2 linked regions of the Arabidopsis thaliana genome follow. The protein of the gene in region 1 interacts with the protein of each later gene in a pairwise test. Each region holds a gene or a part of one and is shown in the gene's direction. Other genes may lie near its edges. The genes, in order: PLDALPHA1 and PFA-DSP1.

What was found.
Region 2: the proteins of PLDALPHA1 (region 1) and PFA-DSP1 interact in a two-hybrid assay, tested with the Arabidopsis thaliana proteins (one large-scale study listed by BioGRID).

Annotation. Positions count from the first base shown.
Region 1 is NC_003074.8:5,328,365-5,334,342, forward strand, and holds PLDALPHA1 (phospholipase D alpha 1), read left to right. Parts: upstream 1-1,829; 5' UTR 1,830-2,055; intron 2,056-2,462; 5' UTR 2,463-2,470; coding exon 2,471-2,566; intron 2,567-2,689; coding exon 2,690-4,592; intron 4,593-4,676; coding exon 4,677-5,110; 3' UTR 5,111-5,381; downstream 5,382-5,978. Other genes in the region: AT3G15740 (RING/U-box superfamily protein), read right to left, coding at 5,515-5,978. UniProt on the Arabidopsis thaliana protein: Hydrolyzes glycerol-phospholipids at the terminal phosphodiesteric bond to generate phosphatidic acids (PA).
Region 2 is NC_003070.9:1,423,943-1,429,668, forward strand, and holds PFA-DSP1 (Phosphotyrosine protein phosphatases superfamily protein), read left to right. Parts: upstream 1-1,596; 5' UTR 1,597-1,717; coding exon 1,718-1,983; intron 1,984-2,073; coding exon 2,074-2,167; intron 2,168-2,292; coding exon 2,293-2,388; coding exon of another isoform or gene 2,389-2,457; exon of another isoform or gene 2,458-3,956; coding exon 3,957-4,014; intron 4,015-4,128; coding exon 4,129-4,172; intron 4,173-4,265; coding exon 4,266-4,451; 3' UTR 4,452-4,927; downstream 4,928-5,726. Other genes in the region: AT1G05005 (PPR containing protein), read left to right, coding at 5,106-5,319, 5,471-5,726. UniProt on the Arabidopsis thaliana protein: Cleaves the beta-phosphate at the 5-position of soluble inositol pyrophosphates.

The DNA of each region.
Region 1 (5,978 bases):
TAGCTCATATCATTACGCTTTCCCGATTCTAGTTCCTTGGTTTTATATGACGACGGTTATCTGTTGTGATTGATAAACCGGATCGTATAACTAATTAGTAATTCCTTTCAAACTTTTAGTTTGAAGAAGATGTTGAGCCAAAAAACATTTATATAATCTATCCGAAGAAACTTGTGTTTGCTTCTTAGGCCATCTTCAACGGTAAAATTAGGTGGATTATCTTAAAATATTGTTTTTTAATTATTATCATATAATATTATTATTTACTTAAATAATTATTCTGAAAATAATAATTTAACCTATTAAAATGTAACCTATTATTTACTTTTCTCTCTCTCCTACTTTATTATTATTTTATATTTTTTAGTTAGTGAAAAACCATACTAGAGACTACTGATGGAGATGTTCTTATCTTTTCTGTCTATTTTTGACTTTCATGATTCGCTTTTAGTTTCTTTTCTTCGGCTTCGCTTTTGGGTTTTCTATTTTAGCTTTTTTCTTTTTGCTTATAAGAAAAAAAAAAAAACTAATTATGTACTTATTGTAGTTTAATTATAGTAATATTCTTTTGATTTTTTTTCTTTTTTTTCCTACTAAACAGTTAAAGATTCACGTACTACTTATCAAATTCAGTTCAGACAGTCGGACAATATCAATAGGTGCACCTAAATTTCATTCCAAGTTTTACCCTACCACAAAAAAAAAAAATCATTCCAAGATACAGGCCTAAATACGTGTACAGAATGTTAAATCACCAGGCCCAATTATGGCCCATATTCAAATATCAATAGCACCTAAATTTCTAGTTTCTACGTCCCTTCTTCATTTTTTCCTTGGGTCAACTAAAATTCAAAAGTCCTATTTTCTAAAATAAGCTAATATAGAAGCAAAACAAAGGAATTGGGTTATTTTAAGTCCAGATTTTTCAGACAAGTCACCGGTGAGCGGTGGCTGCGTATCAGAAACCTTGCCGTGAGCATTGCTAAATAATAAACATAGATAGGGGAATAAGCTCCAAAATAAGCTCCCTTGTATCCTACCATTGTGTTACAATTTAGCATTACGCCGAGTTGCCAATACTGTCTTAATTTTCCCTTTGATCCCCATATATGAGACACCTCTGATCTGTTCTTCACCGCATTTTTATGATTGACGGTTTTGCTGATGGTTAGTACATTAGAACTTATTAGATACCAGAGAATGCAAATACATTGTATAATCCCCATGTGGCCACGTTCCGTTTATGAGGAGTAATATTTTATACAACTATCACATTCTTCTTTACCCAAAAAAAACGAAAAAAAAAACTACCCAATCTTATAGCGAAGATGTGTGAGATCCAATGATGAAGCAATTAAATTATTGCTAGTGAATTCATGTCATTATGCGAACACGTACTACTTGAGAAAAGTACACCATATAGTTTTCTTGTGATGGACGGTGAGGATTCAGCTTGGGAAACGATGTCGTAACGTTTGGATGCAGAACGTCGGGCGCACGATTTGGATATCTCTTTTTTTTTTTTGTCTCCCCTATCCTCAAGTCAGGGATTTTATTACAACTTTGAATATTTATTTCCTTTTTTTATGTCGGCCTTCTTAAAACTTTTCAAGATTTTCAATTAGTCACTAAACTTTCCATTTTATCTTTTTCACTCTATTATATAATTTTAGATGTAACGTAAAATATTACTATTAGGATGTGAGATAACATAATCCAACCACAATTATATCGTTATCTAGTAACATTAACTATATATTATAAGTTATAAATTGAAAGGAATCTCTTGAGAGTAACTATTTAGGGCCTAATTGTGAAACTAAAAACGTGTAGGGCTGAAACTAATAACAATTCGTACGTTGGGTCACTATTAAATCATCAAAGATCTGTAGAAAATAATGAAAAAGTGGCCCCACACGCTCCAATTAAATTACAGCAGCTCCACAAAGTAGCTCTTAAAGAGCTTCCATCACGGACCAGATCCCGAATTCTTCTTCTGACCACCGAACGATTGAGTTTCTCCGATCAGATCTCAGTTTCTGGGAATAATTCGAAGTTAGTATTTCTCTACTTCATCTCTATGAATCTCATTCATTTTATCTTTATGTTTCTCTTTACTTGTTTTGCGATTAAAACTCGTTTGATCATTTAGGTGGTTCTTTGTTTTGTGAGATAAGTGGAACTCGCTGACTTTTTTTTTTTTCTTTTTGGATAATCAACGATCGGGTTCATTTGCTATTGTCCTCTAGTGTTACACTGATACGATCTTTAGTTTTGAGTTAGATCAGTGACTTTAGTTTCACTATTCAACTAGTGTTCCTTGTTTTTAGGACAATACTGCGAAAATTTAGCTGCTCTAAAATTTTGATACCAGATCTTTGAGATTCGTAGATCTCGCTTTTCTTTTTTTTTAGTTTTTTCAGAAACTAATATTGTGTTCTGGTCAATTCTTATTGCTAAAGGTGAAAAAATGGCGCAGCATCTGTTGCACGGGACTTTACATGCTACCATCTATGAAGTTGATGCCCTCCATGGTGGTGGTGTTAGGCAAGGCTTCCTTGGCAAGGTATAATAAGATCCATTGTTATTGCATCATTTTTGCGCCAATCCTGACGTCTTATTTTGTAGTTCAAATTAGTCTGTGGACTAATACACAGTTTGATCTTTATTTTTCTGATGAAACTTTCAGATTCTGGCAAATGTAGAAGAGACGATTGGTGTTGGTAAAGGAGAAACACAGTTGTATGCGACGATTGATCTGCAAAAAGCTAGAGTTGGGAGAACCAGGAAGATCAAAAATGAACCTAAGAACCCAAAGTGGTATGAGTCGTTTCATATTTACTGTGCTCACTTGGCTTCTGATATCATCTTCACTGTTAAAGATGATAATCCCATTGGAGCTACCCTTATCGGAAGAGCTTACATTCCTGTTGATCAAGTCATTAACGGCGAGGAAGTGGATCAGTGGGTTGAGATCTTGGATAATGACAGAAACCCTATTCAGGGAGGATCAAAGATTCATGTCAAGCTTCAATATTTCCATGTTGAGGAGGATCGTAACTGGAACATGGGTATCAAAAGTGCCAAGTTCCCTGGAGTGCCATACACATTCTTCTCGCAGAGACAAGGCTGCAAAGTTTCTCTGTACCAAGATGCTCATATTCCAGACAACTTTGTCCCTAGAATTCCTCTCGCTGGAGGGAAGAACTATGAGCCTCAAAGATGTTGGGAGGATATTTTTGATGCTATTAGCAATGCAAAACACTTGATCTACATTACTGGTTGGTCTGTTTACGCTGAGATTGCTTTAGTGAGGGACTCGAGGAGGCCTAAGCCTGGAGGTGATGTGACCATTGGTGAGCTACTCAAGAAGAAGGCTAGTGAAGGTGTCAGGGTTCTTTTGCTTGTTTGGGATGACAGAACTTCTGTTGATGTGCTGAAGAAAGATGGGCTCATGGCTACTCATGATGAAGAGACCGAGAATTTCTTCAGGGGAAGTGATGTCCATTGTATTCTGTGCCCTCGTAACCCGGATGACGGTGGTAGCATAGTCCAAAGTTTGCAGATCTCTACTATGTTCACGCATCATCAGAAAATCGTTGTTGTGGACAGCGAGATGCCAAGCAGAGGAGGATCAGAAATGAGGAGAATTGTGAGTTTTGTTGGCGGTATTGATCTTTGTGATGGAAGATACGACACTCCGTTCCACTCCTTGTTCAGGACATTGGACACAGTCCACCATGATGACTTCCATCAACCTAACTTCACTGGTGCTGCTATCACTAAAGGTGGTCCAAGGGAGCCTTGGCATGACATTCACTCCCGTCTTGAAGGTCCAATTGCTTGGGATGTCATGTACAACTTCGAGCAGAGATGGAGCAAGCAGGGTGGTAAAGACATTCTGGTTAAGTTGAGAGATCTTAGTGATATTATTATCACCCCTTCTCCTGTTATGTTCCAAGAGGACCACGATGTGTGGAATGTCCAATTGTTTAGGTCCATTGATGGAGGAGCTGCTGCTGGGTTTCCCGAGTCGCCTGAAGCTGCTGCGGAAGCCGGGCTTGTAAGTGGGAAAGATAACATCATTGATAGGAGTATCCAAGATGCTTACATTCATGCAATCAGACGTGCTAAGGATTTCATCTACGTTGAAAACCAGTACTTCCTTGGGAGTTCTTTTGCTTGGGCAGCCGATGGTATTACTCCTGAGGACATCAATGCCCTGCACTTAATCCCAAAAGAGTTGTCGCTGAAGATAGTTAGCAAGATTGAGAAAGGAGAGAAGTTCAGGGTCTATGTTGTGGTTCCAATGTGGCCAGAAGGTCTCCCAGAGAGTGGATCAGTGCAAGCTATATTAGACTGGCAGAGGAGGACCATGGAGATGATGTACAAGGATGTGATTCAGGCTCTCAGGGCCCAGGGTCTTGAGGAAGATCCAAGAAACTATCTGACATTCTTCTGTCTTGGAAACCGTGAGGTCAAGAAAGATGGAGAGTATGAGCCTGCTGAGAAACCAGACCCCGACACTGATTACATGAGGGCGCAAGAAGCACGCCGTTTCATGATTTACGTCCACACCAAAATGATGATCGGTAAGTTCACATTTCAACGGAAAAAAACTTGAGAAGTATACATAAATGTTGTGCCTGATTCATTTGATGAAATCCATTTTGCAGTTGACGATGAATACATTATCATTGGGTCTGCTAACATCAACCAGAGGTCAATGGACGGTGCAAGAGACTCTGAGATAGCAATGGGAGGTTATCAACCACATCACTTGTCCCATAGACAACCAGCTCGTGGCCAGATCCATGGGTTTCGTATGTCACTCTGGTACGAACACCTGGGAATGCTCGATGAAACCTTCCTCGATCCATCAAGCTTGGAATGCATTGAGAAAGTTAACCGCATTTCTGACAAGTATTGGGACTTTTACTCAAGTGAGTCACTCGAACATGACCTTCCTGGTCACTTGCTCCGCTACCCGATCGGTGTAGCCAGCGAAGGCGACATCACTGAGCTTCCAGGATTTGAATTCTTCCCGGACACAAAGGCCCGTATCCTCGGCACCAAATCAGACTACCTGCCTCCAATCCTTACAACCTAATCTCACTAAGCATGTCAAGTAATGATCTCTCTCTCCCTCTCTGCTTTGCTGCTGTTGTAGCTTTGAATAAAACTTGAGTGTCTACCTTTAGAATTAAGAAGTCAAATGGTTGTTATGATGATGCACTTCTTTACCCCTTTGGTTTTTATATTCGTACAATGACGTGGTGAGAGAATGTAGCTTTGTGATCTTGTTTTGTTGTTGTTATGTACCTTTGGACTTATGAATCTTATATCTGATCCTTTTCTTTTTATTTAGTGTGTTTCACATCAAAGTTTAAACAAAAATAGCAATGAACTAGGTAAAACATACTTCATTAGAAAAGTGAAAGTGACAATCTAGAGATAAAGCATGAAACTAGGGTTCATATAGCACAAAACTAATACAAAAGGGGTTTTAAAGTTTTAAGCCGGAAACAGGGCACGACACACCGGACAAATCCCACTGTTCCTAAGCCATTCCTCTCCACAAGTACGATGAAACACATGCGAACACGGCATTCGACCCGCTTCCACATCTGACCCAACTCGGATATTATCCATGCATATCACACAATAGCCTTCATTCTCAACAACAAGCGTCTCCAAGTGCATCTCCACCGCCTCATCGTTCGCTGGAGCAACCGCAAGTTGCACTTGCACATCTACGTGATCATCTTCACCGGGAAACCTCGAGACAGTAACACCTATCTTTACTTGTACCCTCTCCACGTCTTTCGCACCATCTTTCTTCAAATCCTTAATCTCATCAGCAAGAGTGTTAACAATAGCAGAATAAGGAGGGACTTGGAGCGAATCTAGAATGTGATAGACGATGGCTAGTGAATGATCACCGTCTCCACCAAACAACCAATCTCGATCAAACTCGT
Region 2 (5,726 bases), on another chromosome or scaffold:
ATGGAGTAATTTATCCAATTAAAGTCCAGTGTGGGACACTAAACATTACAAATTTTATGTCTTTAGCTTAGTTATCATCTGTTTTTTTTTAATTAGAAAAGAGTAGTTTTCTGGTGTGAGTGTTATGTGGAAGACAAATATGTGACGTGGATTCTAATAATGTATTGTCGTGATGTGGTTCTTTTTGCATTATTTCGTTTTGATTATGTAATAGACATATATTTAAATGGTGCGATTATGCACCGAAGAAAAACATTCGTCTCCATTTTTCTTTATACGAAATTTGACCCCAAAAAAAAGGTAAAACACGGCGTCCGTGTTATTATGTAGTATCATGTATGACAGAAATGGCAACTACAGTAGATAGTTTGGACCGAATTTTATTTTCACACAATTAAATAGTTATTTCAAGGCAGTAACAAATTGGTGGAAAAAAAAAAAAAAAAGGCAGTAACAAATATTAAAACCGAATATTGGCTAAAATTATACATTTCAAAACAATATTATGAAATTGTTTAACAAAACAAAATGTGAAAGGAACATAGAAGTAATTAATGTACTCAGATTACGATCCCATAGAACTTAAATAAAGGTGCGTTTATGAATGCCAGATGACTCAGATTAGTGATTGTTCTTCCCACTTAGCAGAGTAATTGCTCTTTGTCCTTTGGAATCTCTCTCTCTCTTTTTATTTCTCTGTGTTTCGCTTGGAATCTATATTTTCGCTATTTCCTGGAATGATGATATATATGTATGTTAGTATGTAGTAGTCAATATTTTTGTATATTGTGAATAAGTGACTTTTTCAAGGTAAATATAGGTCAGAAACTTCAAATTCAAAATATTAAATATTATAATATTGGTGAAAATATATAGTCAAAAAATGATTTTAGGTTCGGTTGATAATTTATTCAATGAGAGTGATTTACCCGAATAAGATGATTGTGTGTGAGCAAAAAGATTCCACAATGATGCCAATTTAAGCTTCAACAAGTGCTTTCCTATTAACAAGAACAATTTATGTAATATCATTTTTTTCGTTTGTTTTGCAAAACTGCAAAGTCATTTTATTTTGTTTACTTTAATAATCCTTGAAAATGTTATAACAGTTATTTCCTCAAATTAGACCATCATACTATTATTATTGTTATTATCAACCGTTGATAAAAATGGTAGTAGCATGTACAACTAAGATAGACCGTTACAAAATTCGTGTATTGTTAATTATTATATAGTTTCCGTATGTTGCTGTTTTCAGCTCAACTTGAGTAAATATAAAATATTAAACTGTTTATTCTAATATTGGATTCTTTTGTGTAGTGGCAACTTATTTTTTTCTAAGCTTTTTTTTTTTACAGATTACGGATTTCAGTATGAAATTGTAGATCCAATCAACTATTTTCACATATGCTAAAAGGTATCTAAAAAGTAAAAACACTTAACAGATTATAAACAAAAAAGCTTTTAAGATAAATGTCACAAATTCTTTAAAAATAAACAAATAAACAGCTATTGACAAACAAAAAATAAAAATAAAAAAGGAGTCCTTGCTGGGTCCATCTCCTTTGCGTTCTTTTTCGTCTGTTGAATTTTGAACAGAGTCACAAGTCTCTCTCCATATAAACCTCCCCAAGGTCGACGCTACGTAACGACCATCTCCATTACTCGACTCTCCTCACCTAAAGATTCAACCTTTTCTCTGTTTCCCAATTCAGAGATGAAGCTTGTGGAGAAGACGACTACTACAGAGCAGGACAATGGAGAAGATTTCTGCCGCACCATCATCGAGGTTTCCGAGGTTAACAGAAACGTGTTTCAGGCTCCGGGCGGTGAAGCTGATCCCTTTCGAGTTGTCTCCGGCGAAGAACTTCACCTAATTCCGCCGCTCAACTTCTCCATGGTCGATAACGGTATATTCCGGTCTGGATTCCCTGATTCAGCTAACTTCTCCTTTCTCCAGACTCTCGGTCTCCGCTCAATCATGTAAAAGCTCCTTCCACATTCATGACATTTTGTATACTATATATCAAACTTTCGAAATTGCTGATTTTAGGTTTTTTCGAATTTGTGAAGATACTTGTGCCCGGAGCCCTACCCAGAGAGCAATCTCCAGTTCCTTAAATCCAATGGAATCAGGCTTTTCCAGTTTGGTATTGAAGGCAACAAGGTAACCATCTTTCTTCTCCTCTCTCTTCATCAAGTCTCCGTTTTTAATTGCTCTGTAATTCTAAACCTTACTTGGATAGTTCACTAGGAGAATTCTCTGAATGGAAAAATCATATCTTGCTGCAGTGTGTTCCTGACTTAGACAACGAGATTTCCTTGCATTTATGGAATTCTAAGCATCAGAAACAGGGTCCCTTAACTAATGGACTTTCGAAAACTTTGGTACACACTACATATATTAACTGGAACACGATACTATTTCTGGAATATATCATAGTTCATTCAATTTGAAGGGTTTTATTTGCTTGATATTTATTGCCTAATTGTTCTTGAAAATCCTGTCTCATTGTTGTTTACTTTAGACTACTAAAACTGTTTCTGTGTTTTCTTTCTCTTGAATTTGATCCTTCATGGGCACTCTGTTCCAAGCCATATTTTATTATTATGAGTTTACCAGAAAAAGAACACATCTTTCTTTATTGTTTTGCCTCTTTGGCTCTTTCCGTCTCTCTTGACCTCCACTGATTTGGTCCCACTCTTTGTTTTTCTGCCCCTTCAGCAACTATTCCCCACTTGTTCTTTCTACTCTCTATTTATAAAATTAGATTATGGACTACGTCAAAATATTTGCTGAGCTACTTGTTGCTAGTGTTGTCAATGATCCCACTACTCAATAGCTTACTTTCTGTTGTTATTGTTTTCTTGGTTCATGTTTATTGAGTGTGCACTTTTTTATACAGATATGATATCTTATGAAATCATACATCAGCGAAAGTGTTTTTGATTGTGTACAAGTAAACCGTTTTTTATGGTAAAAACTTGTAGAAAGCGTGTTGATCGTGAAAGTGTCCATATTAGCTGTAAGGTTTGAAATCTAGATAAGGTTAGGAATTGCTGGGAAAATGATAGATGGTTACGTTGTAAGTCGGTTAATGTTGTTTAATACGTACCTTTAGTTCCTTTCCTTTTCTATGTGTTAGTGGCTCATGTTTGGGCAAATCGTTGGTAAAGTGATAGAATAACCAAAAACTTCACCATAGAGTCTTGAACTTATTACCCTCATGAGTTACCATTCGCCTTTCCTGAAGAGATGGGTATGAATCTAATTTGAGTTGATATGTTTGAAAGAAAATATGTTTGTTCTGGTATGCAGTAGCTATCATTCTCTCCCCCCACAGAATCCACCTTTTCCCTGTCGATTCTACTCCTAGGATAGTCGATTCTTTATGTGGGGAGTCGTTTAGATACTTACTACCATAGTTCCCTAGTTTTGCTTTTACACTAAAGATGAAAATAAAGTGGCTTTCTCTTCTTGGTGTAGTGATTTTATTGGAAGAATCTGGATCTCATTGACTTTTGTTTTTGTTTCTGGACTCAGATTCTTTATAATTAGTGTGACAACTTCGATCTTGATAGGAAACCTTTATCGCTGATATTCTTGGCTTGCTATGCTTTTTTCTTCTCATAGATTCGTCTTTCAATGGGACTTTGTGTTTATTCCGTGTTGTTGTTGTTGTGTGTGGAGATAACTTTTTGATATAAAAAAGTAAAGAATCTTTCTCTCAGTACGCAACCAGTAAAAGGTATCACATTAGACATGCTTCATAACTTGTAGACTTTGTCCTGTTAATGAACCTTTGCATGGTTGTCTCTCTCGACGTTGCTTGTGCATGAACCTTGATTATTAGATTGCTTTATCTTTTCCTAATCTGCTCAATTTAGTAGTGTGATTGATCTTTTGACATATAATCTTACAATTTTAAAAAGACATTTTTTCTTCTTATTTTCAGGAGCCATTTGTGAATATTCCAGACCATAAAATCCGCATGGCACTGAAAGTGCTTCTAGGTAACTATGAATCATATAGAAGCGCTGAAATAAAAGAACACATGTAACCACACTTTTTGTATGCTTTCTAATTCTAACTTGGTTTATTAACAACTCTCCTTTTAAAATCCTCAGATGAGAAAAACCATCCTGTTCTGATTCATTGTAAGCGAGGCAAGGTAAATCATTCACTCCAATCCTAAACATTTCATCTTTTGTCTCCACCACTGAAGAAGAAAATGAGTTTCTAAGTATGAATCTGGAATTTGCAGCATCGGACCGGTTGTCTTGTTGGTTGCTTGAGGAAGCTCCAGAAATGGTGTTTGACATCGATATTCGACGAGTACCAACGATTTGCAGCAGCGAAAGCTAGAGTTTCAGATCAAAGATTCATGGAGATATTCGATGTTTCCAGCTTCAGTCATATTCCAATGTCATTCTCTTGTTCCATCAGGTAAACAGGGGAAGCTAAAATCTTCAGATAAAAAGGAGAGATTAATCATATTAGAGTTCCAGAGGAAACATTCTTCTCTTTCTTTACCTTTCTCTGGAATCAATAATACTATTTCGAGAAAAGAAAAGGTTTTCGTTGTTATAATGACTTCACTCTGTTTTTTTACTGCTCAGTGTAAGCATAAAGGTAGATAATTACGTATATATATAAAGTAAACTATACAGGAGTTTGTTTAGGAATATATGTATTTTCTTGGGTTATCCCGAATGTTGCTTAACGATTATTAGCTCATATATTTCAATTCTTCAGAACATGATTTGTTATTATCGTGTGTAGAGGAAAATGCTACTACCATCAGTGTGTAAATAATTTGTTCAATGTAATGCTAAACCGAAATATATGGACTAATTTGATTTACTGACCAATCATTAACATAACTCTATAACTTCTTTTTTGAATCAGTTACGGAATTAATCATTATTTTTATTAGTTGAAAAAGACATGCTAGATGTGTGAAGAGTTTGTTAAGTCACGAATATGAAACCTAACTAAGGCCAGTACCAATTTTTAGCTATAAGTGAGTGATAGTTGTCCTTATAGGTCACGAATACGAAACACTCTACTGGAGTGTTGTTAATCATTTACTTTAATAAAAAGCATGACACCGATTCTTCAACAACATGCAAAGCGCATTCTTGCTTGCGGCTACAAGAGTTCTTTGTTCCGTTCCTATGCAACCTTATGGTCACCCGAGGCTAGCCAAACTCTGCTTATTCGGGTCAAAGCGTCTTTGCAGCAACATGAGAAACAATTGTACACCAGAGGGCTCATAAGAATCTTCGAGATTCGGATCGATTTTCTCAAAAACGCGAGTTTTTTTTATTTCTTCTAAATCCTGATCTTCAACCTATGTACCAATTTGTGGTTTCTTACATATTATGTGCTCTTGGTTGTGGTATTATTAGGCATCAAGATATATGGGTAAAGAAAAGGTGTGTACTCTGTTTCAGAAAGATTATGCAGCTCGGCTTTATCTGATTGAGACACTGTTGGGTTTAGAAGAAGCAGACAAGTTCTTCAAAAGTATCCCTTCAAACATGATTGATTACTCCACGCTCTTAACCTCTTACGCGAGATCTGACGATGTGAAACCCGACAATGTCACTGCAAACACTGTTTTGAAGGCCGATGTAAAGGCGATAAAGATGTTTATGAGAATGTGGGTTGATGAAGAAGGAATCAAACTGGAGAGAGACAGGATAGTTGAAATGGCAAAGGT